Bombyx mori: one gene and its partners. The protein of the gene in region 1 purifies or fractionates together with the protein of each later gene. This does not show direct contact. Links are inferred from orthologs where the notes say so. Each region holds a gene or a part of one and is shown in the gene's direction. Other genes may lie near its edges. The genes, in order: BET1-like protein, golgi SNAP receptor complex member 2 and Golgi SNAP receptor complex member 1.

Region 1 (6,439 bases):
TTCTGATAATTCTAATAGATAATGCCTTTTCACGAAGGCGACGAAGAAGTTATGAACTACTTAGAGAACTGCTGAAGATGACACAATAATATCATTAATCATTAAAATTTTAAAATTTTATTATGAATTTACAATTTCATTGGAATGATTTAATACATCAATAAAATTAAAATGTGAAGAAAAATCAAACGTCATGAAATCCAGAGCGATTACCTACAGGTAACTAAATTTGACTAAGAGGTTTGCTTTTATAGCTTTAAATAACGTCAGGCTTCACTTGAGCACTAAAGCAAAATAGTTATTTGGGTAGAATACTCAAATTAAATGACAGTCAAACGGCAGCCTAAAATTAGTGAACCTAGGTCATTACTTCCTAGAGGTTCTCTGAGTACATATTATTATAATTAACGGACGGACAATTGTAAGAGGGACGTGTAGGCTTATGAAATGCATTCTATTAACACTGCTAATTATGAGGCTTAAATATTTTTTGCAAAAGAAACTAATATTTTTATTGGATTTATTTTTCGTGTGCGATTTTTGTTGTAGAGCTTAATATGTTAAATAAGAAATAGGCAAGTTGACTGAATATCTTTAATGCCTCGTAAATAGCGAATCAAGGGAATCGAAATAAAAGATTGTTCAGAAATAAAGAAGTTGTAAGCGTTTTCATTTCAAACTAGACAGAACAAACTATATCAATATTAGACGAGACATATTAGGTGAGAAACCTTGCTTATGACAAAATTCTATAATGCTTTCTATTCAAGGAAATTTTTAGCAAACTAAAACCCAAACCTAGCTTATAACCTAAACTTTTAAACGCTTATAGTATCTCTGAACTCGAGTTTTGTTTGTCCTCCATACCTTTCTAAATCTTTCATCGGAATGTGATGAAAATTGGTAAAATTTTTGTTCGCGCTGTAGAAAATGTTTCTGTCGTATTATCATAGGAGAGTATATGGCACTCCAGTAATTCCAAAAAATCTATGTTTATCATACTATTTGGGGTAGTACCCAGTATAGTAGTATTAGTGGGTGAAACCCAGAATACCGAAGCGTATTCTGGGTTTCACCAGTTAATACTTTTTTAATAGCTGAATCCATTATCTTTGGATCTATGATTTCGTTGCAGAGGTTCTCAACAGAGGCTTCAAATCGTTGATTTTCGGGTATTATAAAAAGTCGCATTCGGTTTCGTAAACATTTTTAAAGGGAAAACGTGTGTTTTTTCACTATCCGAGAAACAACATTGTCGCGACAGAAGATAAAACGTTAATTAAGTCACCTCGTGAAATTTAAAAACAGACTTATCTAGTTTTCATATACAGAGGGTAGATTGACTTTTTAAATATGTTCGTCTTCTTGCCTAAACTACCTTCCTCCAAGTATGTTTTAGGAATACCGGCTCTAAAGCTGATGCGTTAGTCGCAGTGGTAACGATTAGGTACGTGGTAGTCGATCGTCAAACTGTTTTGATTTTTCTCCCTCAGAATGATAGTTTACGACATAATAAGTACTTTGCAGCGAAGCTGGGATGGTTCTCTAACATATTCTAAATGCTAATCGCCTATCTTATTTAATTATACATATTCTTGATGGACTACTCATCACATAATATTATTCATATGCTACTGTCATCATTTGAGTTTGTTTCAAGGATTATATGACTACTATTATTTAGCAGCAAAAAGCTAGGCATTCATTGAATAATGTTTTTTTTTAATTTTATATCTGCGTGAATAAAAACAAACTGAAATTAATTAGATACTTAATTCAGTAGAAAATATTAACAACAATCTTATGTATATGTAGATTTATAATTTTTGTTCAATCAGTTTTTCTATATTATGTTCTGAAATCAACTGCTATGTGCAATACATTCCCCTCGAGGCACATTAAATTTTTATGTAAGTAGTAATAAGAAAGCTTTATTCTTCGATAGTTACTGACTGTTAAAACTTTGTACAATAATAATTATTGAAAAATAAAATAATTGAGTATGTATGTAGCATGTTTTATTAAATTATTAATTATTTTGCGTTCTGCGTTCAGCGACTTATTAAAAGTTCACAAGAGAAGGTATATTATGTAAACCCGTTCCAACTTCCAAGCGCACGAATTCTGAGCGGCAGATGGGAAGTCGAGCACCAAGTCGAAAAAGCATGAAGTTCATGCGCGTGCAAAATCAAAAGAAAATGTTAAAAAGACGTTGTAGGGCCCGGGAATAGCTAATTAACGGCGGCTTAAAAGGGATAAGAAAAAGTTTGCAGGTTGAATTATCGTTTAATTACTTTGAAAGCATTTTCGGAAATACATTTTCTTGATTGAACAGATTAAAAACTTTTCATGCGATATGAGTGCGCCAATGCTTAATTAAACTGTTCGAAAAACCAGTTTCCATGTTTTTTTTTTAAAGGGCCTTCTGATATTATTATCAACGTTGAAAATTGTAATTTAAATAAAGTACGAATCACGACATTTTTTAAATCAAAGTGCCTCAACGTTGCGATGTAAACAAGAAATATTTATCTGCATAATCTACTTTCTAAATATAATTTTTTTAATTTATCTATAATAATTGTGAAAACCCACGATTAATTTGGGAAATTGGGCAGTATGTGTCCAGTCCGCACGGGTAGGTACCACCACCCTGCCTATTTTTGCAGTGAAACCAAGGTGGATGGTGCATTTACGTTGTAGATGTCTATGGACTCCAGTAACCACAAGACCAGGTGGGCTGTGAGCTCGTCCACCCATCTAAGCAATAAAAAAAATCAATATTAGTAGGTTTATTTATTTATTTTTTAGTTCTGAAGCTGATTGTCTCGTGAGTATTAGGAATTGCAATATTTTGTTTTTATATATGCTTCCACTTGTTCCTTAATTTTGTGGTCGTGCTCATCGTTAGTTACGTGTCACGGTACTGTAACACAGAATTCTCTGTGTTTCGCCTATTGCGGGATAGCCCTAAGTATTTTCCTTCATCAGCTCGTAGGATTTCAGTTCTACTATGTGACTGGTAGACTGAAAGATGAGCGTTGAAGACTTTTTTCTCTACCTAATCGCTGGTAGCCCTAAGGGTCTATTCCAGCTAATCACCGACTGGTAGGTGAGGTCATTCAATCTGAGAGTTTGCTAGCACTGGCCCTAGCAATAGTAGTGTTTCGCAGAATCTACCACCGGATCGGAATTGTAAACCACTGAAAAGACCCGGTGAGAAACCCAGTGAGTTGTGTCTATGAGCTAGTTCGCACGTCGAACTCTGACGGGAACGCGAGGAGCGAAGTTGTGTGAATTGTTCTATTTTGTTAATTTATAATAGCGGTGCTTTATTAACTGTTTAGTATCTGTGTAAGTGCACATTGTGGGAAAATAAAACAAAGCCACTGGACGTAGCTTCTCGAGTTCTTTCAAAACGTTCACTGAGAAAGTTTAAGTAAATAAACACCATTTACTGAGACCCGCATTATCAAGTTTCATTTAATTTCATCTCAAATGATTAAAATTTCAAATTAATCAACATTATTTCAATGCGGTCCATTAAATTTGTCATAAAACGAAATATGCATAATATTAGGAGACCTTCGTCTTTTCAGTTGGATAAATGGAGCTACTACTACTATTGACAGTTGACATTTGAGTCAGATAAACACGTAGGAGACTATCACATCTAACACAACTACATAAAAGCAAATTATATACTTACTGTAAACCATGTATGTTTTCAATGTGTCCAGATTATTAAATTAGTGTTTTTTTTTCATATCCTATTACAAATTGACAAAAACAAACAATATTTTATAGTAAATAGGCGGCAAGTAGATCCAAAATTAAATAAACGTCTAACGAAGGACGTAATTAACCAAGACCTGATTATCATCATCACTCTTGTGTCTTGCTGCTAATCAAAACGGCGGGCCGAACGAATATGAGGCGAGCCCGCGAAGGCTACCACTATCAGCCAGTGCCCAGAGTAGCTACGGAAGATACTATCGAAAATGAAAATGAACGAATGGCTGAAGAACTCAGTGGCAAGATATCTTCACTTAAATACATTTCCATTGAGTTAGGCAATGAAGTAAGGGACCAAGAAAAACTTTTGCGTGGATTAGATGATGATGTTGACAGAAGCTCAGGTTTCCTTGGAAAAACCATGGGAAGAGTTTTAAGGCTTGGCAAAGGGAACCACAACTATTATATTTTCTATCTATTCCTCTTCTCCATTTTTGTGTTCTTTTTGTTGTATATTATTTTAAAATTTAGATGATTTTCATTACCCATCCATCACTCCTGTGTATTATAAGTGTTTCGAAATAAATTTTGTATATGTTGAAATGTAAATAAAACATATGTATAAATTAAATGTTTATTTTATTTCACTTATTCCACAACTTTTACAATATGTTTCAATGATAAGTACTAGCTTGCACAGGTAGGTGTCAACATTTAATTTTTTCCTTCACTAAGTAACCATATGTTGTTTGAAGGACAGCCATAATAAAATACAATTGAGCCTTTAACCTTAGCTCTAAAGATAGTCAGCGGTATTTAAGTTTTGATTGTTATCTATAGGCTTAGGTATCCACTTAACTCACTCACCTACTTATGCAACAAATAAGTATAATACTTAAAATGATGCTCATATGTGATCATTAGTAAGTATTCCCTATAATAATTATGCTAACTAGTTTTTAAACTTCAATCAAAAGTATAATTCTTTTAAGATTTTACAAAAATCATCGCCTACAACTTCTTTACTTACAGCAACAAATAAATTACATGGCTTTCCGAGTGAAACAGAACAGATCCGTACACTGTCCATCAACAGAGCAATAATCCCATAAATGTTTTGTTGGTTGTTTCTACTGAAGAACTTGCTTAAGTCATCTAAAATAATTGTTGAGGGCACATTCTGCCAATCTGGTAGTGTTGAAACACTGTCTATAAGTGCTTCAATAGTTTCTACATAAAGAAAACTAATCATTTTCATGAAATGTCTATTCACTGAATTTAAATCTTGTGATAATGTGGGTAGCTGACTTAATTCTTCATGGAGAATATAAAGAACTCTTCCGTTTTCTGCACTGGATAAAGCTTCTTTAAAAAGATTTATTCTGTTTAAACTTGTTTCTTCAAAGTAGAATTGTATTTTGTTACCTTCCATAGCAAATACATTCAATTTCTGAAGTAGCTAATATAAACATCAAAATGCGCTATCTAAAAATTTGGCAAAAATAACAAGAAATAAGCAAGTAAAAAGTATTTTCATTTATGTTTATTTATAAATTTTAGTGCCTATTTCAAATACTTAGGTCATCTTTTCTCACTAAGTAATATGTATTATGTATCTCACATCTCTTTCTATTTAGTTCACACATTAATTTATTAGTTTTTTTTTGGTTCTGGCACGTTTTGTGTATTAGCCAGTGTCAAATAATAATATTTTTATAATTCGCCGTTTTAATTATTTACAGTTTATGAATAATAAAAAACGAAGGAAACTGTCCGTGTTAACCATTATTAATATTAGTGTAAGTTTGAATGAAATTAGCAGCGTGGTACGGTATAGATAATTGATGTTGAGAAAGTAATTTGATTAATGTAGTAATTAACTCTGCACATGATAATATGAAGTGAAATGTAATGAAGTTGATTAATATTATTAAACATGGCATAAAATGAAATGAAATGAGATGAGACGAACGAGATGATATGGATGAAATATAATCTCAGTAAAATGATGGTTATTTACTAAGACTGTCTCAGTGGACTTTTTGGGGGATCCCGAGAAGTTACGTCCAGCGGCTTTGTTTCATTTTCCCACATTTGTGCACTTTCACAGATATTAAACAGTTAATAAACCACCGTTATTACACATTTAAAGCTGGCGAAACACTAAATAGACAAAATAAAAACAAATCACACAACTTCACTCCTCGCGTTCCCGCCAAAAAAGTCACTGAGCCGTTAGTATTACACCGGTCACTCACATGCGCACGAATACGCAAACCCGCAGGTGTAGGACGACATTTGCGAATGATTATGCAAAGTTTTCGCTGCATTCGTGATTTTCCAAGCTGTGTCGGTTTTTTAACAGACATCAAAGCGCGCGAACCCGTTTGCGCTTCCTCCTACACTTGTTTACGAATGTCTTACGAATTTCTCCTCCTTTTTAATTCGTCAATAGAACATTGAAGAGAAAAAGAGTTTTTAATTCTTTCCCAGACATCATTAACAGCCATGCTGTTTTTATGGGATTTCTTTTGATGAAGATACGCTACACAGTAGACGTCACGAACTATGAAAATGGCGATACGTCCGTTACCTTTGCAATTGTCGGCGCAACTGGGCAAGCGAATGTGTGGGAGACTACGCGAAGGTTAGAGGTTCGCGCGCTTTGATGTCTGTTAAAAAACCGACACAACTTGGAAAACCA
Region 2 (8,359 bases), on another chromosome or scaffold:
CTCAATTTAAACTATATTAGATAATATAGACATTAAGTACACATATTTTATGTCTTATGCCATACAAACAACAATAATAGAATGGAAAATCATAAAAATTCATAAAAATTCAATTAAACAACCAAAGGAATGTTAGAAGTAACAAAATACAAAACTAAAACTATTATTTTTTATATTTATCAGCCGTGATATGTTTACATTTTTCTTTCTCTTATTTTCTACACATAATTCACTGATAGTCAGTCTTTTGTTCACTGAATAATGAACACTTGTTGAATTTAATTGTTGGGTTCTGTTTAACCGTGTCACATTTTTGTGGTAGCTTCTAGTGAGCGCAGCAATGGTGCGCGGGCCATATACTAGAAACGGTCTTTAGAGGCATGCAAGTCTGGGTTGGTCAAGTACTGTAGCTCTTGAAGTTCCTGGAACTTTTCATGATCACGGATATGTGCATAATTAGCTGATAAGCACATCAAATAATGCACTAAACTCAATATGACTAAGATACATGACACCATTGCAAGGATAAACATAAATTCTGCTTTTTCAACGTAATCTTTGCAAAAAAGTTTTATTTTGTGTGGTTCGCATATTTTCATGTCTTCTTGCTTCACCGTTGAAGGAAACATGAAGTCGAATTGAGTGAAATCTATACAAGTTGATGATACAATATTTTCTGGTTTTGAACATAATTTCCAGAATATTGTGAACAAAAATGTTGTTATTACTAGAAATCCTAGCAACACTATCCAAACAAAGGTCAAAATATATGTTATGATCATAAAAACGGCACACGATATTCTCCCACCGACCCGAGCTCTCCACGCCCGATAAACTTTCTGGCGAGTTGCACCTGTAGTCAAACAGCCTAGACAAAGTAACATAAATCCTAGTGCTGCCATGCATGCACTTCCCACAATGAATATCATCTGCAGGGCTTCAATCCAAATCAATCGAAAGTGGAATACTTCGTCGAACATAAGGATGGAGAGTGCAGATCCACGGTACATGGTCCCACAAAACACACCCACGCCTAGACAACACATTATTGTAGCGATAAGGGTTGCATGTGGCACCCGTGTTAGACAAGCTTGACACGCGTCCCCCATTATTTTGTTAATTCTTATTTACTTTTAGAATCAAAACTTTTGGTCCGAAGATACACAATTAAACACTGAACAAAAAACTATTTAATGTTTTTGAGTTCACTGATGTCAAGATTCAAGATTCTTATTGTCTATGGTCAAGATGACGAAGGCGAACAAACCAACGACCGAACAAAAGTTGAGTGTACACATATTAACAGAACAAAATAAATAAAAATTGCTGAAATTTTCTGGCAATATGAGAATTATTTTATTTTTCATAATTAGTGTAATAACGACGGCTTATTAACTGTTTAGCATCTGTAAAAATAGACTAATTAGGGAAATGAATCAAGCCGCAGTTTTTCCCATGTAGCTTGTCGGGATCTTCTAAAAAGTCCATTGAAAATGTGTCAATAAATAACCGTCATTTCACTGAGAATATTTAATGATACCTCATCTCGTTTCATTTAATTTAATATATTCTATAAATTCTGATCTATTTTATTTAGTCTTTAAATCGCAATCGCATCGCATCGCATCTTTTTATTGAAAACCACATCATAATTATCATTTTTGTTTCTCAGATCTACTCGGCTTTTATAAAAATTACCTATAAGCAGAGTATGTTCTATTTACTTGTCTAATTATAGAAGATAACTATTTTGATATTCAGTGTTTCTTTTTCAAGGTTTAAATGTAAGGTAAGGTTTAAATATAAGCCCTTATTAATCACTAGCATCTATAAGCTGCACAAGCTGGGAAAATCAAACCAAATCGCTTGATGTGGCTTCTTGGATTTTTAATACGTTCATTCACCCTCATCATTTTTTCCAAGACCGACAATGTTACTTTACCTTACCTAATTAATTTCATATTATTCCGTTCTGATTTTGAATTTGTTTTAATGTCCAAAGATCATTCACATCGCATACAAAAGTCATGACTTCGACTTATGTTATAAAATATTTGGCAGTATGGGCTGCATTTTCTGTGTCTAAATAATGGACGAACAAAGCGAAGAATTGTATAATGAAATTTGTGATGTGTGACATGCAGTGCTGCCAACTCTACCAACTTTTAGTGTCGTAATCAAACCTACCACTTTGTAGCAAAAATCTACCAACTTTTGAAGTTTTCAAAAAGTTCAAATCAAACCTCCATGAAAATAATAATGAAACATTTTTTTTATTATTGAAGTGAAACTTCCTTATCGGCGTTGGAAAAAAATTTACCGTCACGTTTTTCGGTTACGCGTCACATTTTTCCGTTACGCGCCATCTTTTTTGTATTCATGTCTATGATAATAAAATCCTTTTGTTTAAACTTTATCTAATTTAACTTTATTTAACCAATTTCTAGAAAGTTGCATGTAGATCATTTTTCGAAAAATAAGGCCATAAATAAGTTTCACTTCTTACGTGTGTACACTAGTACACGCACACATTTTTTATTATTCTTTTCAATTATCACTATTTTCTATTAATATTTTGAATATTAGTGGCCTGTAATTCTGTTTTATCATTGGATTTCTAATAAAAATAGTTCAAATATGTCTTATCCAATCGAAAAGTAAATTAAGGATGCCAGATTCTTATTGGAGGGTCTCTAAAAGACTTGAAAAGTATGGGTGGTAGATCTACCAACTTTTCATAGTAGGGTTTGTTGGAAACTTCCAGCTTGTAGAAACCTATCTCCCACCTTGACGAATTTCGAGTTGGCAACGCTGGTCATGTGTGTGACACATCATGTGTCAGACGTGTCAGTGTCGTCACGATTTGATCACGTCAAATGCTGCCCTTCGAAAAGGTTCACAATCTACCTAACTTAAACAGTATAAATATTTATTATCGTTGATACGATAATATAAAACTTTAAGAAAACATTTTACGTGATTATGAATAATTTAATATAAATGACCACTGAAATTATTTGAAATCCTATTTAAAAAAATACATTACCAATATGGAAACATTATACCATCAGACAAATCAATTGCTACAAGAAACTACAGATCTTTTTAATAAATTAGAGAGAGATCCAGCCAATCACCAACAAATAGAAAATGCAATTCAATCAAAGATAAACACAGTCAATGCGTAAGTAACATTAATTTGCTTGTATTTTATTCTTATCTGAAATGTACTGTAAACTGCTAATAGTAAAACTTATGATCATTAAATTCTCTGTTTCATATTTAATAATTTACAAGCTAACTGGCTTGGGAACCACTTAACGTAATGGCATTTCTGCTTAACTGTAAAATTTATAAGATAATTTAAATCGTACATTAAAAATATACATATTTACATCAATTTGTACATATTTTATAATGATATTATTATTTTACTATTAGACAAACTAGATTTAAATGTTAATAAAATACATATAATAAGATCAAACCAAACTTAAATTTTATTTGTATTCTCCAGGAACTGTGAAAAACTAGATATTTATGTTTTTAAAACACCAATAAATCAAAGGTCTATGGCTAAAATGAGAGTGGACCAGCTGAAGTATGATAACAAACACATACAGGTAAAAAAAAGTACTGTGTGTATATTAGCCAATGTGTATGTATGTAGCTTGGGCTGACAATGTGATTGTTCACAGACTTCTGACAATTGACAGAGACAGATTTTTGCTAAAACAAGAAAACATATCACTCCACAGGCTTCTCTTATAAATGCCCAAAACAAAAGACAAAAACGGGAACAAGAATTAGCTGAAAGGGAACAACTTTTGAACCGGCGTTTTGGACATGATCACACAGAAATAAATGTAGACTACTTAGCTCAAGAGCAAGCGTCTTTGCAGAATTCACATAGACATGTCGATGATATGTTGCATACAGGTACGATCAATTGGAATTTGTAATTTTGACTTATCACAACTAATTGTAGTTGGAGTTCCATAAGAACTATATTTTCACTTGTAGTTTATTCTTTTTTAAAGTCAAATAATGTAAATTTTATTTAAAATAGTAAGTTTAGCTTTGATTTCATAATTTTAATTTATCTCGATTCGCAATGTTTTCATATATCTGGGTAAGCAGCTTATGGCCATGGCTCATCGCTATCAAATTTAAGCAGATACATATAGCTGGCAGAACAATGACCATGTCAACTAGAAATCAGTCAAACACTTTCAAGTGCAATAGAAAATTGTTATTCTAAATTTGTAAATTTCTAAGGCAAATTTATGTTGCACCAAATTTATGTTGCACCAAATTTATGTTGTTTTAGAAGTTGTCGTGGCCTAGAGGATAAGACGTCCGGTGCATTCGTATGTAGCGATGCACCGGTGTTCGAATCCCGCAGGCGGGTACCAATTTTTCTAATGAAATACGTACTCAACAAATTTTAATGTTCACGATTGACTTCCACGGTGAAGGAATAACATCGTGTAATAAAAATCAAACCCGCCAAATTATAATTTGCGTAATCACTGATGGTAGGACCTCTTGGGAGTCCGTACGGGTAGGTACCACCACCCCGCCTATTTCCGCCGTGAATCAGTAATGCGTTTCGGTTCGAAGGGTGCGGCAGCCGTTGTAACTATACTGAGACCTTAGAACTTATATCTCGAGGTGGGTGGCGCATTTACGTTGTAGATGTCTATGGACTCCAGTAACCACTTAACACTAGGTGGGCTGTGAGCTCATCCACCAATCTAAGCAATAAATAAAAATAAAAAAAGCCAACTAACCATCTTTATGTCTTTGTCGGTACTGATTTCAATAAATCTTGTGTGTATGATCTAGAACTGATAGATAATGTAGGGTCAACCTGGTAATGCTTTTGTTAATTTAAGTACATATATATTAATAAATAATTTTGTACCTATTCTATATAACCATAACTTTCACAATGCTGATTATGACAATTAATTAATATTCTTTGCGCATGGGTGTAGTTGTTTGAAAATATCAACTATAGAGATGAGGTAATTAATGCTATGCTCAGGGAATGCACTGGGGGCTCTAAAATGTATGAACAAGACCATCAGAGTTTTATAAATTGACACAGAATCGGTATCCCATAGATGATATATCTTTATCACATTTATAAATGAAAATAAATAACAGTTTAACAAAACTAACAAAATATGCTTTTATAGAAAATCCAACTAAAAATAGGAATTAAATTTTAATAAATTTGAATTAAAAATAGTGTAAGAAAAAATGATTTTATTGTAAAAAAGCGTGGGATGTTTTTCAGGATATTATCAAAATAACCCTTTACTCATATCTGTTCATAAAATGTTTATAACTACTGATACCATGCACCCCACGCTTTTTATACAATAAAAACATATATTCTTACACTACTCAAATTTACTAAAATTTATTTTCTATTTTTTAGTTGGATTTGATTTTTAGTTTTTTTTTTTAAAGGCTTAGACAAAGAAATTTATGAAGCCTGAATTTTTTTATTTAAAAACAAACTTATTTGAGCTGGGTTTGTAATTAAATAGTTATTTTGAATTCGTAAGCTGATGATATACCAGAAACCAAAATTTTGTTTAAAAATAAAAATAAAGTCTTCTTTCTTCTCAAATTAAATTAAAGAACCTGATTAGTAACCCTTGCCCCTCCAACGTTCTAATAACAAGCGCGACTTAGACTATGACCCCTGATGACGTCATGTATTTTGCAAGTTGAACACGGAGTGTCGCTGCGTTCACTTGTATAGTGTGAAAACATTTTATGCAATCTTAATAAAATATTCAGATTAAATGCACAACGTATACAAAATTACAAAGTGAATAATAATAATAAAACTAATAAATTTTATTCGCGTTCGGAATACTCAAGAATAAAATTCGTTTGAAATTATCAGTTTACAAATACAGTGTAAATTATATTCTAGGTAGGTACTTACCACATTTTGGTTTTGGGTCTGTTGACGTTAGTGTAGAAAGACGTATATTTCCGTCACTTCGATTGTAAAACAAGACTAACCCGTCCGACCTAGTGAACACGCATGATCACCTCAAGGCAACAAATAAACAAGATAATTAATAACCGGTAAATGTACTACCAAGTAACCTAGATTAGATACACTGAAGTCTACGCCATGAGTTGTCTAATTCACTTGAACTCCGAGCAGGGATAATTATTACTGTTAATTAAACCGCGTTAATGCGACTGGTCCCATTGTTTCTGATGCCGATACTCATTTAAACATAACAAACAAGTATATTTATAAAATAACGTAGTCACAAAATATACATTTTTTTCGGTTACAATTTATTGTGTTGATTATTTTGGCCTTGACTTCTTCCTGCGCATGGGAAGTTAACGATAATAACAATTTAAAACATTTACACTGGATGATTATTCATTAATTTAGAAAAATTAAATAAATGAAATTGAGATAATAGCTAATAAAAATACGGTGGACCATGGAAAACGAAGGATTTTGTTGTGCCGCGCATGCCGGTTATTACTGAAACGATGATGACAAAAAGACTCGGTTCTAAAATAATAATAAAAAAACGGGATTCGGGGTTCGGTCCTTTGTTTAGTACGCAATGGAACACTACTCGGAATTTATGGTCAACGTATAATGGTGTTCGTTAAAATCTTTTACTACCTTATTTAAATATTGATTGCACTATTTATTTTTTATTTTACAAACTTATAATGTGAACCAGTAGGCGATAGTGAAACGGTGTCAATTGTACAGTTATAAAGGTACAAACTGAGGCACACGACTGCTTCATAGAAATGAGCAGCAGAGAGGCACCTACCAGTCCGGACTTACTACATATAATATTAAATTACAATTAAATAATTGTCGCCAAAAAATATACGCACACCGCGGACATTTACAACACCGCAAGGTTGAAGCGGTGCAAAAACGACTTCTTTATATCTGTTCATTGAATTCCGAGTTTTTATCTTTATTGAATAACTTACTTTGAACTTCTATGTGTATAGAAAAGATCCGGTAAAGTGACGTCTACCTAGTTATAAAAGAATTTGAACCAGAAAACCAAGTTGCATGCTTTTTTATTTATTGCTTAGTTGGGTGGACGAGCTCACCGCCCACCTGGTGTTAAGTGGTTACTGGAGCCTATGGACATTTACAACGTAAATGCGCCATGAGATATAAGTTCTAAGGTCTCAAGTATAGTTACAACGGCTGCCCCACCCTTCAAATCGAAACGCATTACTGCTTCACAGCAGAAATAGGCAGGGTGGTGGTACCTACCCGCGCGGACTCACAAGAGGTCCTACCACCAGTAATTACGCAAATTAAATTATAATTTTGCGGGTTTGATTTTTATTACACGATATTATTCCTTCACCATGGAAGTCGATCGTGAACATTTGTTTATGTAAAAACCAATAATATTTTTATCCAACTTGTCTCTTACAATACCCAATTGGTTTTTCATCACTACGCCTATGAACTCTTAATATCATAAAATGTGGTTTAAGTCCAGCTATTAATTATGATCTAGTTTAGAAATTGAATATTGTTTATGTTAGGGCAAGATATCGTTCATTGCATCTACCACCGGATTGGAAACGCGACCCACTGAGAAGATCCGGCGAGAAACTCAGTGGGCTGTGTCTGTGGGTTAGTTTACTCGCCGAGTCTTTCGTCGCAGGCGACGGGTTTGACGAGAACGATGACCGGTTCTGTTCTATTAATGACAGGCGGCGTGGCGCTAGCAAGTCCTGAGACAACATACACACACCACCACAAATATATCATGATCGTTTAAATATATATATATATATATAAAGCGAATTACTGTTCGTTAGTCTCGCTAAAACTCGAGAACGGCTGAACCGATTTGGCTAATTTTGGTCTTGAATTATTTATGAAGTCCAGAGAAGGTTTAAAAGGTAGATAAATATGAAAATGCTCGGAATTAAATAAAAATAACAATTTTGTTTTCCCTTTGATGTGTCCCCCGTCGGACGGATTCCTTTTATACAAAAGTTTAGATCTTTTATTTATTGATTGAGGCACTACGAAGTCTGCCGGGTCGGCTAGTTACTATTATTTTTGTTCTGCACGCTATGTAACATGTTTTGTAGCTTCCTTCACTTTGATTGCCGTTTCACGAAATGTAAAATTACTAAAGGAACAAGCACACGCTTAGAAATACGGCTTTATAATGAGTTACCGGAGTTGCATAAGCCCGTTATAAGAAGATTGTCAAAAAGTGTTATTCATTGATATAAATTAATACAACTGGCTTATAAAGCTCGGACAGCTCATTATAAACAAGTCTATAACTCATGATTTTGTTTG
Region 3 (7,559 bases), on another chromosome or scaffold:
TGTGAAACTTGTCGCATTTAGCAAACTGGGTATCAGTTCAGGTTCGGCCAATATTAATTCAGAGACTGCCCCTCTCATAAACAGTGATGATATGTTTGATACCATGTCTATGGAGCTGCAGCAGCTACTTAATCAGGTAATTGTTATATATAATCTAAACTAGCTAACTTGTCTTTACAAAAGATCCAAAGTGAGTCAAGTGTCAGATAGCTGTTTGTCTGATTCTTATATAAATCATAGAGGGCAATGGTTCGTCTTTAATAAAATATAATGCAGCAGTTGGCAATGAATACAAAAACTAAATTATCATCATCTATGAAATCATTGACCTCTTTGAAGGATCACTACAATGACATGTCTTGCACTGTTCACATCCAATAAACTTTTTACTAGCTTATTTATAGAAATATCTGTGAAAACATAGATAATACAGCTGTGAGCTTACAATGAGATATTTGTTACTATTAAGACATCTAAGTAACAAAACTAAACATCAAATTAATCAGATACCATCTTAATACTTGTTTATGGATAATATAATTCCAATTTCTCAGTTATCATCAATAAATGACAAAATGGCCGACATAGCCCCAAGTGGAGCAGCCACAATGCACACAATCAAACGGCACAGAGAAATACTAATGGTTTGTATGCATGTATTAATTAATATGACTTAATTGGTTTAAAATTAAATAAATTAATTAATTGGTTTAAATTTAATTAATTGGTTTGGTATCTTAATTGGAGACTTTCAATGTACCTTCTGTGACATTAGGATAAAAGTGGAACTAAAAACACTGTCAAATTTGCTTAACTTATCTCTATTAACAAATATGTATTATGAATGTAGAAGTTTGTATTTATATGTTTATTTGATTACTAAATGATACACCCATGTACGCAATATATAAAAAATAGGTTACTTTACTCTTGCTGATGGGAAGACCAGCTCGTTACCTGTTTGCTGTAAGTGGTTACTGGAGCCCATAGACATCTACAACGTAAATGCGCCACCCACCTTAAAACCATACAAAGCATAATGTGAATGACGTTAGTAGATAAGCCTGTCAGTCAAAACTCTTGACTGCTTTGTTGCAGAAATAGATAGAATTGTGCCTGGAGAATTCAAACCCCGGCAAAGTTGCATGTAATTTTGCCTATATGGTGTCAACCTGGAATAGGAGTCTACAGTATTCACCAGATAATGGAAAGCAGAGTTCTCAGCTTACTGATAGTAGGGGTACTGTAAACTCTCACGTACCATAGTTCTGCATTTTCAAACTTTTCAAACTCGTCGAATCTAGTGCAGCACGCCAATGTGTGATCCACTGTGTCATGGCGTCCTGACCGCCATTGCACGCTGCGAACATCGCAGTACGGCGATGTTTTCGCGGGTCAGGGCGCGGCACCAAACGGGAGCGCCGCAGAGTGCCTCAATAAGCCTCGCGTTGTAGTAGGCCTCTCGTTGTAGTGGGTCTCGCGTTGTAGTAGGCCTCGCGTTGTATGAGGTCCCACGTTGTATGAGGTCCCGCGTTGTGTAAGGTTTCGCGTTGTATGTGGTCCCGAGTTGTATGGGGTCCCGCGTTGTATGAGGTCCCGCGTTGTATGGGGTTCCGCGTTGTATTGGATCCCGCCTTATATGAGGCCTCGCGTTGTATGGGGTCCCGCGTTGTATGAGGTTCCGCTTTGTATGAAGTCCCGCGTTGTATGAGAGCTCGCGTTGTATGTGGTCCCGAGTTGTATGAGGTAACGCGTTGTATGGGGTCCCGCGTTGTAGGGAGTCCCGCGTTGTAGGGGGTCCAGCGTTGTACTAGGTCTCGCGTTGTATGAGGTCCCGCGTTGTAAGAGATCTCGCGTTGTATGAGATCTCGCGTTGTATGAGGTCCCGCGTTGTATGAGGTCTCGCGTTGTAGTAGGTCTCGCGTTGTATGAGGTCCCGCGTTGTATGAGGTCTCGCGTTGTAGTAGATCTCGCGTTGTATGAGGTCCCGCGTTGTATGAGGTCCCGCGTTGTATGAGGTTCCGCGTTGTATGAGGTCCCGCGTTATATGAGGCCTCGCGTTGTAGCAGGTCCCGCGTTGTATGAGGTTCCGCTTTGTATAAGGTCTCGCGTTGTAGTAGGCCTCGCGTTCTATGAGTTCCCGCGTTGTATGAGGTCCCAGGTTATAGAGGGCAACGCGTTATAGTAGGTCTCGCGTTGTATGAGGTCCCGCGTTGTATGAGGTCTCGCGTTGTAGTAGGTCTCGCGTTGTATGAGGTCCCGCGTTATATGAGGCCTCGCGTTGTAGTAGGTCCCGCGTTGTATGAGGTTCCGCTTTGTATAAGGTCTCGCGTTGTAGTAGGCCTCGCGTTCTATGAGTTCCCGCGTTGTATGAGGTCCCAGGTTATAGAGGGCAACGCGTTATAGTAGGCCTCGCGTTCTATGAGGTCTCGCGTTGTATGAGATCTCGCGTTGGGTTTTTTCAAAAAGTCTCGCGAGCCGGTTGTTGCCCATGTTCTAAAGTCTAAAATTTTTTTTATTATTGCCTTAGTAGGCAGAGAGCATACGGCCGACCTGATATGGTGAGTGGTTACCATCGCCCATGGACTTCAGTAATGCCAGGGGCAGAGTCAAGCCGCCGCCTACCGTAAGTTACAACGGCTGACCCACCCTTCAAATCGACGCATTACTGCTTCACGGCTGAAATACCTGGTGGGACCTGCCCGTGCGGACCCACAAGAGGTTCTGCCACCAGTAAAAACGTACGTGTGACTGAAACGTCGTATCAAACCATAATTTCGCAGGACTACCAGCAAGAGTACTCCCGCACGTCAGCCCGCGTGTCGGCGCGGCGCGAGCGCGAGGAGCTGCTTCGGGGCGGCTCCCCGACTCCGCCCGCCGCGGGACTCAGCAGACGCGACCAGTACGCGAAGGAAGCCAACCATTTGCACAGGTGTGATATACGGTTTTTCTTTTTTTGTATATTCTATGCCTTTGTTGTCTCTATATCGAGGGACTTTTTGGCGGTAACGCGAGGAGTGAAGTCGTTGTGATTTGTTTTATTTTGTCTATTTAGTGTTTCTTCGGGCTTAAATGTAAATTAATGGTGGTTTATTAACTGTTCAATATCTGTGAAAGTGCATAAAGCCAAGAAAGAGACAAAGCCGTTGTTCTCCGGTTCCTCCAAAAAGTGCACTGAAAAAATCTCAGTAAATGACCACCATTTTACTGAGATTATATTTCATTCCATATCATCTCATCTCATTTCATTTAATTTGACTTTGACATTCAATGACTGGGATGATTAATTTAAGAAATTAATCATCCCAGTCATTCGCTTCATTTTCTTCATTTCAGACTTCATTTCATTTCACTCCATATAATCATTTTTCATATTAATAAGAATATAAATTAAAATAAGACATGACTTAAAGGTCTTAGTTACCAGGTCTAAAATTCCTTAAAAAAATCTATATCGAGCAAGGATTAATAAGACACGTGTTTAGTTAATAAATTTAAATTCAAGCGCAAAAAACGATACCAGAAAACAATTCTAAGTGAAGATTAAAGTGCGTCATAGTGTTACTACACCAGTAGCGCAGTGAATATTACTGCGTATTACATATTAATGAGTAGTGTAACTATACTGACCGCTCAGAACTCATATCTCAAGGTGGGCGGCGGTATTTACGTTGTAGACGTTTATGGACTCCAGTAACCACTTAACACCAGGTGGACTGTGAGTTCGTCCACCCGTCTAAGCAATAAATAAATAAAAAGATGATGAATAGACATTCGGAACAGCTCTTGATTTTGATTCTTAGAACTGAACATTTAGTATTTGTCTTTCTTTTTTGTTTGGCCAGAGTATTAATTTGGTCGTTTTCCCATTTCAGTTCCCACATATTAGTCGATGAACAAATAAACATAGCGATGGAAGCTCGCGACCACCTCTCCTCGCAACGGCAAACCTTCAAACGGATGCAGACCAGGTTCAACGATATCGCCAACAGGTAAATAAATGTTAAAACATTTTTTTATTTTCAAACATAAAAGCTATAAGACAATTCAGGAAGCTAACTATGTTAGATAATTTCACACACACACACACGCACACACGCACGCACACACACGCACGCACGCACACACACACACGCACGCACGCACACACACACACGCACGCACGCACACACACACACACATTCTCTTATATATTCGTAAATACTAGCAGACCCGACAGACGTTATTCTGCACGCACAAATAAATGGAATGAATGAATGATGCATACACAAAAATTCATTCAAGTCGATCCAGCCGTTTAGTTGCAGTATATATAAATAACCTAGATACCGACTGCAACGTCATCTGCCGGGTTGAATTGTGAATCAACCATCCAAGGTGCCACATAAACGCATACAAAAAAAAATCATTCAAATCGGTCCAGCCGTTTAAGAGTTCAGTGACATACACACGTACAGTAGAATTATATATTTATTGATGAATTTCATATCAATTCGACCTATGGTTAAAAAAATAGAAATCACTGTCACCAGCGCCACCTATCCGTCACTAACGTAACTATATTCGGACTGGTCATATCGACTTATAAATATTGGGTGAGGTTTCATATCGATTAGAATGTTTTTCGAGTTTTAGGTGAACCTACACACACATGTACATACAGATTAAAGTTTTTTTAAGTTGTTGTGGTCTAACGGATAAGGGTCCGTTCCCATAGAAGACCATAGACATCAACAACGCGAACACCGCAACCCACCTTGATACATGAGTTCTAAGTCTCAGTATTTACATTACAACGGCTGCCCCACCCTTCAAACCGAAATGCCTTACTGCTTCACGGCAGAAATAGGCAGGGCGGTGGTACCTACCCGTGCGGACTCTCAAGACGTCCTCCCAAAAGTAATATAAAACTTGTTCAGTGTGTGTTAGTGGGAGTTTTTTAACGTTCTCGATAGCGTAAGAGTTAACTCAAATTTGTATGCAATTGGAACAGCGCCCCTAGCGGCAAACGTTCCAACTCCATACAAATTTGAGTTAACTTACATATAAACCTAGTGTTCATTTTACTCATGTCTACTATAATTCTTCAAATTATCGCCATGTATTAACTTTAACACAATTACGCACTTATTGGATCTTTCACTTCATCAACGAGGGTTAACTGGAAGAGAATGCCTGCATGGCGTTAAGTTCGCCTTTGTACAATATTTTTGTGCAATAAAGATTTTTTTATTCATTCATTCATTCAACTTTTACTCGATCGAGAACGTGAAAAAACTCGAACTGTTTAGTTCGAGTTTACACTGTATCTGTATCAGTGTGCTTAGTGCGAGTTTTGTAACGTTTTCGGTAGCGTAAAAGTTAGCTCATATTTGTATGGAATGGAATCGTTTGCGTACTTTTACCGCTAGGGGCGCTGTTCCAACTGCATACAAAACTGGGCAAACTTACGCGATCGAGAACGTTAAAAAACTCGCACTAAGCACACTGAACTGTTCAGTTCGAGTTTACACTGTATCTGTAATGATAATTCGATCGTCCCCAGATTCCCGATGTTGAACAGTCTGATGTTCCGTATAAACGCTAGGAAGCGTCGCGATTCCCTAATCGTGGGCGTGGTGGTAGCGGTCTGCACCTTCCTCTTGCTCATGTACGCCTTCCATTGAAACTGTGATCCGATAAAGACTGTAGTTAACTAGATTTTAAGGTATCGTATTATAGTGAACTAAGACGCCTCGATTTGACAACCATATTGAATACGATGTCCAGTCGTAGGTGTGGTGAAGCTTAAAGGCGGAAACACATTATTAAAACGCGACGTAACGCAACGTGTCGACACCCGATTTACACCGTGCACATTACCAACACGCGACCCCACGACATAGCAGCAATCTGTAGTGAAAACAGCTAACAGCAGTGGAAATGTATAGTTGTGTACTATGGATTTAATAAATAGCTCTCACAAAAGTTACCACAACTATATAGGCGTATACAATATCAATTTGTTTTTTTAAAGTAATAAATAATATTTTCAATAAAACTTACTGTTTATATTCATTTGCTCGGCAATTTATTCCCATGCATTATTTCTCGTTGTATGATCCCTGTATATAGCTCATGCATCAAATTCATGCCATATAAAACAGGATATCGTTTTACCAACGCTTAAAAGGAGACTCCAATCAATGTATTGTTTTGACTCGTATTTGAAAATAAAGAATTTTTGTATTTTTTTTGTATTTGTACCAACTCAATTAACTGGACGTCGGTCATTTCAAATGCTAAACGCTAAATAAATGCAAACAATAATATTAAATTGGCATAAATTCTGTTTGACAGTGTGAAGAATAGGGATGGGCTCAAAGAATGGTTATATGCTCTGTGACAGATCTCGAACGACTGACGCGTGTCTTTGGGTGTTGTCTAGAAACATACTACACTCTACCCGTCGGATGGCGTGTTTAACCCCAAAATGGGCAACAAATCACTGCGATACTTTAAGACAAAAAAAAATTGTGTATGGAAACTATCGATATCTTGTAGCGGATACCCCTAAACTTATATGTTGTTAAAGTGGCTTAACTTTTTAATTATTATAAGACTAAATACAAAAAATCAAAAATCATACAAGCCTTATTTGTTATTAAAATTGATTAAATTTTATCAATTTGTGGTTTCTGAAAATCTACAAAATCCTTCATTAAAAATAAAATATAGGATAGGTAAATGTGTTACTGCCATACAGGAGCAATGAGAAACTAATGGAAGCGAAGCCATCTAGTGGCCGACGCCCGTAAACATTTTCGTTGAGTGCTTGAGTTGCTTATCTATAGCCAATTTATCTGTATTATAAACACATCGATCTGGCACATTTGAATCGGGTGTTATCTGCCGCATGGCGTCGCGTCGGATGTTTATAGTGTGAATCTGGTCTATAAAAAACAATACATTTGATTCGACTCAACACGCATCGCGGTTTCATCAGGTGGCGTCGCGTTTTGATAATGTGTTTCCGCCTTAATAATGACGTACATTAATCGATTCTTTATTTATTATATCCAATATTATATGTCGATATTTAAACTAAACTTTTCCTATTACAGCAAACTAGGTATATCGTGAGGCTGTTTGGTTTAAGCTACATTTTTGCAACTTTAAATTTAAGCCGTTTAAAGTTTAAAAATTGTCAAATATGTGACTAAAAAGCTTCTCCAGCTATTCGAATGGAGTAAATTTAATAAAGTTCAATTAAAAACATCGAACTGTTGATGCTGATCACTACATAGTATAAAACAAAGTCGCTTTCTCGGTCCCTATGTATGCTTGAATCTTTAAAACTACGCAACGAATTTTGATGCGGTTTTTTTTAATCGATAGAGTGATTGAAGAGAAAGGTTTATATGTATAAATAACATCCACTAAATAGTAGAGAAATCAATAATAAATTACAGTTTCCGAATCGAAGCGAGGGCGGGTCGCTAGTAATGAATAAAACGGACCTTTAAGCCTTTAGTTACGGAGATAAATGCCGCGTGTTAAGCGAATTTGCGATTAAACCA

Evidence for each region.
Region 2: the proteins of BET1-like protein (region 1) and golgi SNAP receptor complex member 2 purify together in Homo sapiens (affinity purification with mass spectrometry; 3 studies listed by BioGRID and IntAct, with this or other methods). This does not show direct contact. The link is inferred for Bombyx mori from reciprocal best matches to the Homo sapiens genes BET1 and GOSR2.
Region 3: the proteins of BET1-like protein (region 1) and Golgi SNAP receptor complex member 1 purify together in Homo sapiens (affinity purification with mass spectrometry; 3 studies listed by BioGRID and IntAct, with this or other methods). This does not show direct contact. The link is inferred for Bombyx mori from reciprocal best matches to the Homo sapiens genes BET1 and GOSR1.

What each region holds. Positions count from the first base shown.
Region 1 is NC_085114.1:8,350,736-8,357,174, forward strand, and holds BET1-like protein, read left to right. Parts: upstream 1-3,648; 5' UTR 3,649-3,931; coding exon 3,932-4,270; 3' UTR 4,271-4,363; downstream 4,364-6,439. UniProt on the Homo sapiens protein: Required for vesicular transport from the ER to the Golgi complex. Functions as a SNARE involved in the docking process of ER-derived vesicles with the cis-Golgi membrane.
Region 2 is NC_085121.1:9,511,976-9,520,334, reverse strand, and holds the start of golgi SNAP receptor complex member 2, read left to right. Parts: upstream 1-2,791; 5' UTR 2,792-3,050; coding exon 3,051-3,184; intron 3,185-3,517; coding exon 3,518-3,623; intron 3,624-3,758; coding exon 3,759-3,939; intron 3,940-5,968; coding exon of another isoform or gene 5,969-5,973; exon of another isoform or gene 5,974-6,891; intron 6,892-8,359. Other genes in the region: neuronal membrane glycoprotein M6-b, read right to left, coding at 360-1,109. UniProt on the Homo sapiens protein: Involved in transport of proteins from the cis/medial-Golgi to the trans-Golgi network.
Region 3 is NC_085122.1:10,009,306-10,016,864, reverse strand, and holds part of Golgi SNAP receptor complex member 1, read left to right. Parts: coding exon 1-136; intron 137-554; coding exon 555-644; intron 645-2,783; coding exon 2,784-2,932; intron 2,933-3,875; coding exon 3,876-3,992; intron 3,993-5,545; coding exon 5,546-5,666; 3' UTR 5,667-7,559. UniProt on the Homo sapiens protein: Involved in transport from the ER to the Golgi apparatus as well as in intra-Golgi transport. It belongs to a super-family of proteins called t-SNAREs or soluble NSF (N-ethylmaleimide-sensitive factor) attachment protein receptor.